2 linked regions of the Danio rerio genome follow. The protein of the gene in region 2 interacts with the protein of the main gene of each other region in a biochemical or structural test. Links are inferred from orthologs where the notes say so. Each region holds a gene or a part of one and is shown on either strand. Other genes may lie near its edges.

The links.
Region 1: the proteins of pex5 (region 2) and pex12 form a complex in vitro, tested with the Homo sapiens proteins (2 studies listed by BioGRID). The link is inferred for Danio rerio from reciprocal best matches to the Homo sapiens genes PEX5 and PEX12.

What each region holds. Positions count from the first base shown.
Region 1 is NC_133180.1:67,480,551-67,487,371, forward strand, and holds the start of pex12 (peroxisome assembly protein 12), read right to left. Parts: upstream 4,509-6,821; 5' UTR 4,319-4,508; coding exon 4,193-4,318; intron 2,175-4,192; coding exon 1,639-2,174; intron 1-1,638. Other genes in the region: uncharacterized protein, read right to left, coding at 6,584-6,821. UniProt on the Homo sapiens protein: Component of a retrotranslocation channel required for peroxisome organization by mediating export of the PEX5 receptor from peroxisomes to the cytosol, thereby promoting PEX5 recycling.
Region 2 is NC_133191.1:12,428,710-12,434,928, reverse strand, and holds part of pex5 (peroxisomal biogenesis factor 5), read left to right. Parts: intron 1-1,213; coding exon 1,214-1,336; intron 1,337-3,801; coding exon 3,802-3,912; intron 3,913-4,402; coding exon 4,403-4,486; intron 4,487-5,853; coding exon 5,854-5,973; intron 5,974-6,219.

The DNA.
Region 1 (6,821 bases), on a different chromosome or scaffold from region 2:
AGCCATCAAATCGGCATTCCAAATGCGGAAGTGAATGGTTAGAGTGTCTAGTTTGTGTACTTTTACCTTCATTTACAGAGGGCACCTACTAAATGCTATTTAATGTAACAGTAGTTTATAGACAAAAAAATCCTGCAAATTTGGACCAAGATGACATATTAAAATACTCTAAAAATACTCACAAAGAAAAGGTTTTTAATCATTTAAAATATATTAAAATTTAAGGCTGATTTACACTTCTGCGTCAAGCACATGCGTATGCTATGGGGCAGCCTACACATGGACGCACAGCCCTCGCCGTGGCTGTCGGCGTTGCTGTTTTGCACCTCTCAAAAAATCGAACTACACGTCGCAGCAGCGCATAGCGCAAGCTCTGTGATTGGTCAGCTTGGAAGTACTGACGAGTATGGGTGGGACCGAGAACCGCGTGAGTCTGTTGGAGCGACTGTTTACAAGTGTCCAGTCCCGTGAAGGAGCTTCAGATGAAAAGTTTTGTTGTGTTTACCTTATGGTTAAAGTTGTTGCACGTCCGCCGGTTCCTGCCTCAAAATGAGCGAGTTTGAACCACTTGTACATTAAGGAAGCATTAAAAAAAAACACTAGCGAAGAGACTCGACCGGAGGAACATTTACACTTCACTGCCAACTAGTGTATCGGAAGTGTTATTGTAGAACAACAGAAACAGCGCTCAGAAGTATAAATGCATGGCTACGTGCGTTGCATGCGCCATGGGTCACGCCGATCACTTAACGCAGAAGTATAAACCAGGCTTTACTGTGCCATACTTATTATATTACATGCTTTAAGAAGTACAGGTCAAAATAAGTTTATCTTTTAATTTTTGTGTAAATGTTATGATGAATGACAGCTGAACAATATGTCCACAATATTTTTTCATTTTATTGCAACAACGGTTATTTGAAACGTCAAACTTTAATATGCTTTGTATGTATATAAAATCGCTTGAGAATTTAATTTGACGTGAACACATAAATACGTCTCATTTCTTTCTAATGGACTTTCAAGTAAATTGTCTTGACCTAAAGTTTTATATAATGTCTTAAGTATACTTGGTAAATAATAAGAAAAACAATGCACGTTCGAATTGATAACAGCATAACAAACAAAATGCAAAAATTAGGGCCGGCGCGTCCATGGAGGTGACCTAGGTGGCTGCCTAGGGTGCCAGAACAGTGAGGGCCCTAGTTCATGAACTGGTCACTAGAGTTTTCACTTTCAGGTTGAGCGCTGCGAGACAGTACCTTGCCCTGGCAAAAATCTATTTAGTTTACATTTATTTTTCTATATAGATAATGTATACGCAGCACTAAGAATATTAGAGTATGGGATTGCCCAGGGACAGAAAAAGAAGACAACTAACCTATATTCAATATACAGATATTAGTTAAAAATATTTACATGAGTTTTCCAAAACTTTGTGGGTTTTACTGATTTTCCAAAACTTTTCTGTGAAATGCCATCTCAGAATTCCATGACTTTTCCTAAATTTAGTGTTTTTTTTCCTGATTTTTCAGCACTTTTCTGGAAAATGCCATGTCAAAATGACTTTTCCAGGTTTTCCATGGCTGTATGAACCCAGCAATATAGTTTGCAAATTAAAGCACTAAATAAACTCACCTTTGACCGGAGCTCAATTCTGGGCCTGAAGGCTTGAGATCCAGACTGTGTATGTCATTAGCCGTGAGATATGACAGTTTAACCCCGGCAAGCCACAGAAGTGGAGAATGTGTCCGTGTTTTGCCGAAAACGTACAAAAGCTGTTGGCAGAAGACCCAGCCGTCCCACGCCATGCACACGAAAGGATACGCAGCCAAAAACGCCCTGTACATCTTCTGCAGGAAGGACTGCGGCAAGCGGATGGAGAAATCGTCCTCGTCTCTCTGTCGCGCCAGGATTTTCTCCAGTTTGGTGTGCAGGTATGGAATGAGGGCCAGCAGGAGTAAAGAGCGCCAGTGTTGCCTCCGCCGCAGTCCCAAATGGGCAGCACGGGCACTATGTGATCCCACACGCTTCAGGCCATAGAAGTTCTCTGAAAATGAGGCGCTGGTGCGGGACAGGAAGTGATGCTGCAATAACATATCCAGGATTACGTAAATCTCATCAAACCTCCTCCAGAGAACTCCATAGCGGGCAGGGTTAGATGTAGCGAGAATCTGTGGAATGTAAATACGGTAGTTACATTTTTTAAGGATATTTTTAGGGTTGTTCCGATACCGATACTAGTATCAGGAATACTTGCTGATACTGCAAAAATTCTGGCATCTGTGAAACCATAAACCAATCTGATACCATCTCTTTAAATGAGACTTATGCCTGCTGGCTTTACTTGGAGCTAGCAGTATACACCAGTGGTTCCCAAAGTGGGGGTCATGAGACAATGAGGAGGGGTTGCTTGGTGATTTCCAAAAATATCATATATGTTATTAAACTATTAGAATAACCATATTTTAGCCATAACCTACAGAAGATAAAAACAGTATTTATTAGTTGCATCAAATCGAAGAAGTAGTGCAGTAGGTAGTGCTGTCGCCTCACAGCTAGAAGGTCGCTGGGTCGAGCCTCAGCTCAGTTGGCGTTTCTGTGTGGAGTTTGCATGTTTTCCCTGCGTTTTCCCTGCAAAACCCGCGGGTTTCCTCCGGGTGCTCCGGTTTCCCCCACAGTCCAAAGACATGCGATACAGGTAAACTGGGTAGACTAAATTGTCCTTAGTGTATGAGTGTGTGTGTGAATGTGTGTGTGGATGTTTCCCAGAGATGGGTTGCGGCTGGAAGGGCATCCGCTGCGTAAAAACTTGCTGGATAAGTTGGAGGTTCCTTCCGCTGTGGCGACACCGGATTAATAAAGGGACTAAGCCGACAAGAAAATGAATGAGTTGCATAAAATAACAACATGCAAAAAAAAGGCTCTAGCCTTTTAATTCTTTTTCCATTGGATTGGGACCCCTGGGGTTATTACGCTAGACACACCAATAGTGTTAATTGCAGCAGACCTTAGATTTTACGACACAATTTTACATTTTGATACCTTTACAGCACTCACGTACACTATATATATATATATACATACACACATATATATATACATCATGCTCAACATAAATGAGTACACCCCATTTGCAAAATTAATATTTTAATCCATTTTTAAGAGAATAACGGTCATATATTTTGGTACATAACCGATATGTTTATTGAAATAATGCTTTAGTCATCGAACATCTTTAGAAATGGAAGGACGATACATTATTTATGGGACATATTGCAGAAAATATAAACAAATTACAAAATTTTAACAAAATATTATAGATTTTTTTGTTTCTCTTGATTTTTTCTCTTTTTTATCTTTATTTAATGGTTTTTCCCAAACATACATTTGTATGTACCAATTTTGGACTGTAATAAGTTTTTTGTTAGATTAGCTCCAAATTTGGCTTCAGAACTGACTAATCTAATATATTTGCACAAATATTGTAAAGCATCCTATTGAAAATGTGAATTTAACTGAGAGATCTGTGAGGTGTGCACTCATATATGCTGAGAACTGTATATATGTAATTAATATACACGTATAAATAATACATTTACTGTACTTTACCTTAATAGAAAGGAATCATTCTACAAGTAATATTTTAAATAGATTATTATTAATAATACAAAGGAAATACATTCCAAATAATGTTTTGGACACATTTATTACACTAGTGTTTTACAAGTGTACTCATAGTCTTTATGAAGAAACCAGACAGGCACATTTTACACCTGCCCTAAATTGAGTTCCTTTTGATCTTCTTTCTTTGACATACTATCTAGGGATCCTTATATTCCTGTGAAACCCTGCCCAATAATAGCAATTTTTTGCTTTACCTCCTAATGACGCTTTACGTAGTTTCATATTGATCTTACTGTTTTCGCCTCATTGCTAAACACTGTATTTGATTGCAACTTCCTCACGATGCTGTCATTGATGTTTCAGTCAGCATCCCCGTAATGGCGTGTAATAATGCGCCTACATAAATTCTGATAGTTTTACCGTAAAAAAGAAGCCACAAAGTAAACGATGGAGCATAATATGGGAAAATGGACTATTTATTTTATCCATGCGCTATTTATCGTCACAGTCCAAAACTCAAGGAGTACAAATGCAGGAGTACAGTATGATGAAAAAGCGAGCATACCTTGACAGCATGCAGTAAAGCGGGTTTGACAGCGGTCATTAAAGAGTCCTGCGCTAAAACCTCAAACACTGAGGGTCGATCTTCAGCCGGGGCAGCTGTGGTTAAATGAGCTCCTCGCTCCGCCATCACACCTGATGAGGAAAACTACTGCAAACAACAATAACGCCTTCCTACAGGTACGTCAGTCGAGCCTTTTAATGAGGACAATGGTGCTCATTTTACCAAACAAAATAATTCAGGAGAGTTACAGTGCTGGAAATCAACGCACTGGTCAACGGTCATCATCTGTCGCAACACTTTTTTTTCCCTGTCAGACGCGTTTTCTTCTTGGGGCTTTAACATCAATAAAACGGGTTTGTACTGACACCTGCTGTGCTGGAGGGTTCATGATAATCTACTGTAGACCTACAATCTGTGTGTGTATTTCGTAGAGTTTTACATTTTATAGGACAATTGAATTTAGATAAAAAGGAACCAAAGGAATCATATGAATAAATCCTTTAAAGATGAATCAAATGAATCACTTGCATATATCAACCTGTGGCGTCACAGCGGCGCAGTGGGGTGCACGATCGCCTCACGGCAAGAAAGCCGCTGGTTTGAGCCCCTGCTGGGTCAATTGGCAATTCTGTGTGGAGTTTGCATGTTCTCCTCAAACTTGTGTGTGTTTCCTCTGGGTGCTCCGGTTTCCCCCACAGTCCAAAGACATGCGGGTATAGTTGAATTGGATAAACTAAATTGTGTGTGTATACATACATGCATACATACATGCATAACGTTGCAATCAGTACTATTAAACCCTGTTTGAATTTTTTTTTCTTTTTTAAATATTTCCCAAATTATGTTTAACAGAGCAAAGAAATTTTCACAGCATGTCTGATAATATTTTTTCTTCTGGAGAAAGTCTTATTTGTTTTATTTCGGCTAGAATAAAAGCAGTTTTTTAATTTTTTATGAACCATTTTAAGGTCAAAATAATTAGCCCCTTTAAGCTATATTTTTTCGATAGTCTACAGAACAAACCATCTTAATACAATAACTTGCCAAATAACCCTAGCCTGCCTAGTTAACCTTATTAACCTAGTTAAGCCTTTAAGTCACTTTAAGCTGTAGAAGTGTCTTGAAAAATATCTAGCAAAACATTATTTACTGTCATCATGGCAAAGATAAAATAAATCAGTTATTAGAAATGAGTTATTATAACTATTATGTTTAGATAGCCGTTTGAGTTGTGAATGAGCCAAATAGGCTTAAAACACCTGTTTACTGTAGTAAAAACCACTTTCTATAATCAAGTACATTTTTTGCTTCCATGTTTAAAAAAAATCAAAACAGCCACTTTTCTAATTAAACTGTGAATTTAAACATATATAAACATTAAAACTACAGGCTAATTCACACATTTCATGATCTGATTCATAATAAATAAGGCTTTTTTAAAATACCACAACACTTGATGTTTCCATCTCTAACAGTGACTCTGGCAGTTTAAATGAGTACATTCACTAAGTGGTTCTGTCACTGTGTTTAATCCTTTCTGAGCAAGACTGTATGGTATAGTTAATGCCACAGGCACTTTAATGTGTTTTATTTTGGTAGTTCATTTTGAAATTTAAATAGCGAAATGTTCGATATGAGGCGAGGCAGTAGCGCAGTAGGTAGTGCTGTTGCCTCACAGCAAGAAGGTCGCAGGATCAAACCTCGGCTCAGTTGGCGTTTCTGTGTGGAGTTTGCATGTTCTCCCTGCCTTCGCGTGGGTTTCCTCCGGGTGCTCCAGTTTCCCCCACAGTCCAAAGATATGCGGTACAGGTGAATTGGGTAGGCTAAATTGTCCATAGTGTGTGAATGTGTGTGTGGATGTTTCCCAGAGATGGGTTGTGGCTGGAAGGGCATCCGCTGTGTAAAAACTTGCTGGATAAGTTGGCGGTTCATTCCGCTGTGGCGACCCCGGATTAATAAAGCGACTAAGCCGACAAGAAAATGAATGAATGAATGTTCAATAAATGCTACTTTTTCGAGGAAACAGCTGTGATTATGAGGTGAGCACCGATGAAACTGTAGATGGGAAACCCGATTGCTCCTCCATGACATTGGTGTACGTGTTATACAAGTGTATCTATAATATCTCTGCACAGCTGTGGTTTGCTGATCAAATGAAAAACGAAAGACGGGGAGGAGCCGGATTCTTCGACCGTTTTCATATCAAATTTAAAGGGGACAGGCGATAATTTAGTGTTTAGTTTATGAGCTAATCGTAAGAGTTTTTGAGATGCTGAATAGAATTATAGGCTACAGCCCCCCTAAAATAGGCCTAACAACGCCCATGACCTCAGAAACTTTTTTAAATAATAACAGAATCAAATAGAAGACAAATGGATAGACTTTCCACACTCAACCATCAACACTCTCTTCCGACATCTCCCGCATTTCTCCAGTGTGGATTTTCATGTGTTTCTTGAGCTGTAATGAATATGTGAAACTCCTGAAGCACTGATCACACGTGTACGGTTTCTCTCCGGTGTGAATCCTCTCGTGTGTCTTCAGGACTCCTAACTGAGTGAATCTCTTGTCGCAGTGTGAACACTTGTGAGGTTTCTCTCCGGTGTGAATCCTCTGGTGTGTTCTGAGG
Region 2 (6,219 bases):
ACCAAAACGAGTACACACACATTCACTCACTAACATGGCATATTAATTAACAAAATAATTATGAATGTTGAATGTCGGCAGTTGGTTTAGGTTATATTGTTGGTTATATAAGTGGTTTATGTAAATATTGCCATATCTAATTTAAAAAATTAAATGACAGTCATGTAATACAGGGTTTGGTTAAAATAAACAGAAATTTCATGTATGATGCTCACATCACAATTTTATAAAACAGAACATGACTCAAGTTGAAATCCTTGTAGTTTCTTTATGGAGTAGAATATCTGGTGCTTCGAGCACAGCATACATATTTCCAGCACATATTTTCTGTCGCATAATTTCTATTTATCACGATTTCTCACAACTTGTGTGTTTTCCTGGGAGAGTCAGCATGAACTGACTCAAGACCAGTTTCATGAACATTCAAAACCGTGTCAAGATCTGGATTTTTGTTAAACAGTGGTTCAGTTTCGCTTTGTTTTTCACCAAAAACCTCATATAAACCTCATATACAAAAACCTATCATATAACTTCGGGAACATATTGAAACAACATGAGGGGGAGAAATTAATCACAGAATTTTAATTTTTGGGTGAACTAGTCTTCTAAATCAGAGAGTTGTAAAGACTTTAACCACATGTAAGAAGGTTTATTACTATATTTAAGATACTCTGTATTAAATGTTGCATCCCTGGGACTTTGTTAATATAATGCAATATGTTTTGCCGGACTGAAGTGGATCCATGTTGGAATGAATTTGCTGTGCTTTCACCAGTGCCACATCACACAAATGATCCATCACAAGAGTTTACTTAAGCTAAGCTAAAACTGATCTAATGTTATCTCAAGGGAATCCTTTTAGTCTGCACTTTGGGATATATTTATAAAGGTTTGGGTAACACATTAACCTATTTAGATGAGTTTCTTTATCCTCTTGTGGTAGATTCTAAAGTGATGTGAAATTGTACACATTTTTTTGTTGCCATTTCTTTACTTAGTTCACATTTTTCTCTCTTTTCCATTTAACTCTGCTCATGCCTCGTCATGTGTTGTGCCTTTGGCCGTTACTCCTTTATCCTTGTGGTTTACTTATGTCTGACCTTAACTGTCTAGAAGAAACCACTGGTGTGTGTGTGTTTAATGCATCGCCAATGTGTTTGCTGTTAGCAGTAGATGTGTAATAGCTGTTGTTGTTGTTGTCGTTATTGTGTAGTTCCTGCGGTTCATTAGGCAGATTGGCGAGGGCAGTGTGACTGTGGAGGACAGAGCAGGAAAAGAGCACACTGATAAAGCACAGGCCAAAGAGGCAGAGCACTGGGCCTCCAGCCTCAACCAGGTACGAGCCCTTCCCAGATCCTCCCATAGAGGACACACTGTGTGAAGGGTCACACTGCAGACCCCTGGCAGCCATCTTGGCTCTTTTCAAGCTACTTGGGCAACGTTAGGCATGGCTTTATTGCACACCAAAATCCTTGCCAATGTGCAGTGCTGGGTTTTAAATCATTCGCTGTGGGAAGCACAGTTTTTGATAGTTTCATTTGGTTTAGAGTGTGGAGGGTACATACAGTGGGGTTTGAGACCACATTTGAAATTTTTAGGATTCAAAGTCTGTTTAATAATGTATTTTTTTTTTCAATTATATGAATTTCTTTTAAGGATTTCTTTTTAATAAAAAACAATTACCGGTACACTCACCGGCCACTTTATTAGGTACACCTGTCCAACTGCTTGTTAATGCAAATTTCTAATCAGCCACAGACATGGCAGCAAATCTGTTCATTTAGGCATGTAAACAAGGTCAAGACAGTCTGCTGCAGCTCAAACTGAGCATCAGAAAGGGGCACAAAGGTGATTTAAGTGACTTTGAACATCGCATAGTTGTTGATGCCAGGCGGGCTGGACTGAGTATTTCAGAAACTGCTGATCTTCTGGGATTTTCACACCCAACTCTAGGATTTACAAAGAATAGTGCAAAAAAGAGAAAATATCCAGTGAGTGGCAGTTCTGTATACACATGCCTCGTTGATGACAGAGGTCAGAGGAGAATGGCCAGACTGGTTCGAGATGATAGAAAGGCAACAAACAGTAACTCAAATAACCACTCGTTACAACTGAGGTATGCAGAAGAGCATCTCTTAATGCACAACTTTGAGGCAGATGGGCTACAGCAGCAGAAGACTACACCGGGTGCCACACCTGTCAGCTAAGAACAGGAAACAAAGGTTACGATTCACACAGGATCACCAAAATTGGAAAAATGTTACTGGTCTGATGAGTCTCCTTTTTTGCTGCGTCATTTGGATGGTAGGGTGAGAATATGGCATCAACAACATGAAAGCATGGATCCATCCTGACTTGTATTCCCAGTTCAGGGTGGTGGTGTTGATGTGTTGATGTAATGGTGTGGGGGATATTTTCTTGCCACACTTTAGTGCCAATTAAATATGACCACAGTGGACCCATCTTCTGATGGCTACTTCCAGCAGGATAACGCACCATGTCATAAAGCGCAAATCATCTCCGACTGGTTTCTTGAACATGACAATAAGTTCACTGTACTCAAATGCCACCACAGTCACCATATCTCAGTCCAATAGAGCACCTTTGGGATGTGTTGGAATGAGAGATTCGCATCATGAACATGCAGCTAACAAATCTGCAGCAACTGCGTGATGCTGTTATGTCAATATGGACCAAAACTTCTGAGGAATATTTCCAGCCCCTTGCTGAATCTATGTCAAAAAAGATCAAGGCAGATCTGAATGTAAAAGTGGATCCAACCCGGTACTGGTAGGGTGTACCTAATAAATTGCCCGAAGAGTGTATTTTACAAAGACAATAAAGATTTTGCAAAGTTTCAAAAGAGTTATATGTCCTACAAATTCTGTTTTTCAGTTAAATGCTGTTGATTTTTTACAATATGAAGCCTCACCACTGTTTTTCAACACTGATTATATAAAAAAGGTCTTTTAAAGAAATATTTCACCCAAAATCAAATTTTTTTTTTTTCCTGCGCAAAGTTTTTTAAAGGATGTTATAAACATACATAGTAGGAAACACAAATATATCTTATTTTGTTTTTAATCAAGAAAAAAAAAGATTTAAACTGGTTTGGAACAAATCAAAGTTGAGTAAATAATGGCAGAATTTTTTATTTTTGGGTGAACTATCCCTTTAAGTGTTAAACCTCCATATTAGAATGATATTTGCAAGCTTTTGTGACACTGGAGTATTATTTTGCCATCACAGATTAAAATGACAATTTAAAATATTAAAATAGGAAAGAGTTGTTTAAAATTATAATTTATTTTAGCAATTATTATTATTATTATTATTATTATTATATTTGTAAAATGAAGCCTTGGTGATCATATAATATCTTTTTTCAAAACAAAACTTTAAAAAAAATCCCCAGTGGTAGTGTAAGCCTTTTTATGATTATTTTTTATGCATATTTTTATATATAAATATAATCTAAATTAAAAAAAAACTTACACCATTTTTTAAATCTGCCCCCACTGTGATTCAAGCCAAGTCCTACACTTTGCTTGTAATCCTGCCTTATTTGTAAATCTTTTTTTTTATCCCAAAGTTCAAACAAGCACTTTAGTGTAACTCTGATATTTCCTTCTTCCTTTTGTCTTGAACGATCTTTTAATGGCATCCTGACCCCTACATCTAAACCTCTTAACCTCCATCCATACCTAAATCCTCCTGCTCTCTTAACAATCCCACACCAAATGCACACTGTCCATAAATGCCCACCCTCCCCGCATTCTTTGTCCCGCACTGGCCTTCCAGTTTCTGGAATCAGGGGAAGGGACTGTGCAAGTGGAAACGCAAGAGGGCAAAAAGAAGAATGACAAAATGAAAGCTAAGCAGGCAGAGCAATGGGCAACTCTCGTCAGGCAGGTAGGACAACAGTGACCCATTAGTTTTCGTCTGTGCTATTAGGCTTGTCATTTCTGTTATATTAACTAGCCCCCGCTGACCAAACTATTGTGCCTCAAAGAAAGCTTTAATTTAACAGCCCTTTTAACATGATTATCGCTGCAAGACTCCAGGCCTGTAGAGCTGATAGTGCCCTGCTCACATTGCTTTTCATTTGTGCCCAGCTTTGACTTTCTGCAATAGAGAAAAGGTACACTGAGCAATGCTTTGCTATTGTAATGTAGAGAGGAAAGGCGAGACGGATGAATGAGGGTGAGATTTTGCTTTTCTTCCTCTGCTTGGTCTCCCGAGCCCTTTTTCCATTACATCTTTTCGCTCTCATTAATCACAGTGTGTTGTCTTTTTGTTTCCCCCCTCTCTCCTTTCAGCTGAGTAGTGTTTAAGCATTTGCAGGCTCTGTGGTTTGTTATGGAGGCTGTTTAATGGTCTGGCATGTCGCTGTGCTTGGTAGGTTTCGGCAGAATCGGCGGAGTCTTGGGTCGATGAATTCGCCACCTACGGGCCAGACTTCCAGCAGGCCAAAGCAGCGGTCGAGGTGAGCACAGTTTAGGCTGTAAATACTTGAGGAATTGTATTTGATTGCTGTCATTATAGGGAAAACAAGATATTCTGAAACATGTGGGAAACAAGCAGTTATTGGAAATTTTGAAACAAAAATGACTGTGGAAATCAATGGCTGGTTTGTTATACACCTTCTTCAGAAAATCTTCCAGAGAGAGAGAGAGAACAATTGGAGGGTTGATGGCATTACTTTTATTTTTGAGTGAACTGTCGCTTTAAGTGTTATTTTGGGGTATTTGGGCTTTTTTGTGTAGTAATTACACATTTCTGGAGTCTGAATTGTTACTTCTTACAGTTTTATTTAAACTAAACTAAGTACTAGTTGTATATGAGCAGTTTCAGTGTTATGAATGTGAGATCTGCAGTAAAATCTTAGTAGGGCTGAACAATATATTGATTAAGTATTGATATCACAATGTGTTTCTGCAGTAGTCACATTGCACGATTATGTTATTTATTAAAGAGTAAAAGATAGACATTAAACATTATTTTTGGTTATTATTTATACAATCATAGCCATGTTATTTTACACATGATTGTTCATTTTCTGCACTTGAAGGGCTCTATTTTGACGATCCATGCGCAAAGTGCAGGGCACAAACACATTAAGGGCGTGTCAGAATCCACTTTTGCTAATATAAAGACGACAAAATCCGCTTTGCGCCATGGCGCATAGTCTAAAAGGGTTGAGCTTATTTTCTTAATGAGTTATAGGTGTATTTTGAGAATAAACCAATCAGAGTCTCATCTCCCATTCCCTTTAAAAGTCAGTTGCGTCGAGCCATCGCAAAATTGCTATTTACATGACAGACTTTGTAAGTGGAAAAACTGAGCGCTTCACTACCAAGAAAAAAGTTCAACAGAGCATCTACAGCGCGAGAATGAGAGATGAGCCACCTTATTATTTAGGCTTACTTTCACTTTCGCTTTAATCGATAGGGAAACCTTGTATGCACAGAAATCCATTAGCCTATAAATAATTAATTTTGTTTGCTCAGGTAACTGGAAGGGAAAAAAATTATCAGAACATCCCTAGAACAAGAAACTAAACTGAAATGTGGACAAAACAAAACACTTACCCAACACTAATTATTGTTATGGTCCTCAGCATCACACTGTCATTAATTGAGTAGATCAGAGCATGTGCATTCAGTCACATTTCTGCACAGCAAACCTGTCAAATTTTTATTGACGAAATGAACACGGCTGCAAAATATAAACTTTTTAGCAATTTTCATTTTCTTAAAACCTGTCACCCTAAAGTCTGTAGATTAGATTAAGATTGTTTTGTTTTGGCTTTAACTCATTGGTCTGTGTGTATGTATGTGTGTTTTTATACAGAGCGATGTTGATTTCTGGGAGAAGCTCCAACAGGAGTGGGAGGAAATGGCCAAGAGGGATGCTGAAGCTCACCCCTGGCTCTCAGACTTCGACCAGATGCTCAGCAGCTCTTACGACAAGGTATCTGGACAGTGTACATCTGTGCCCGTTTACAGCACAGAGAACTGGAAAATTTGAGCTCTTTTCCAGCCAGTAGTCTGTGCTTTGTTATGGTGCATGCATGTTAGTTTTGGTCTTTGTTTCTGCTTCGATTTTGAACAAATTTTCATTTGCAGAGCAAGAATATACAAAAATAAAACTATTACATTTTATGCATAAAATTCTTCCCTTTTTTTTTTTTTTTTTGCACAGAGAGGCTATTTAACT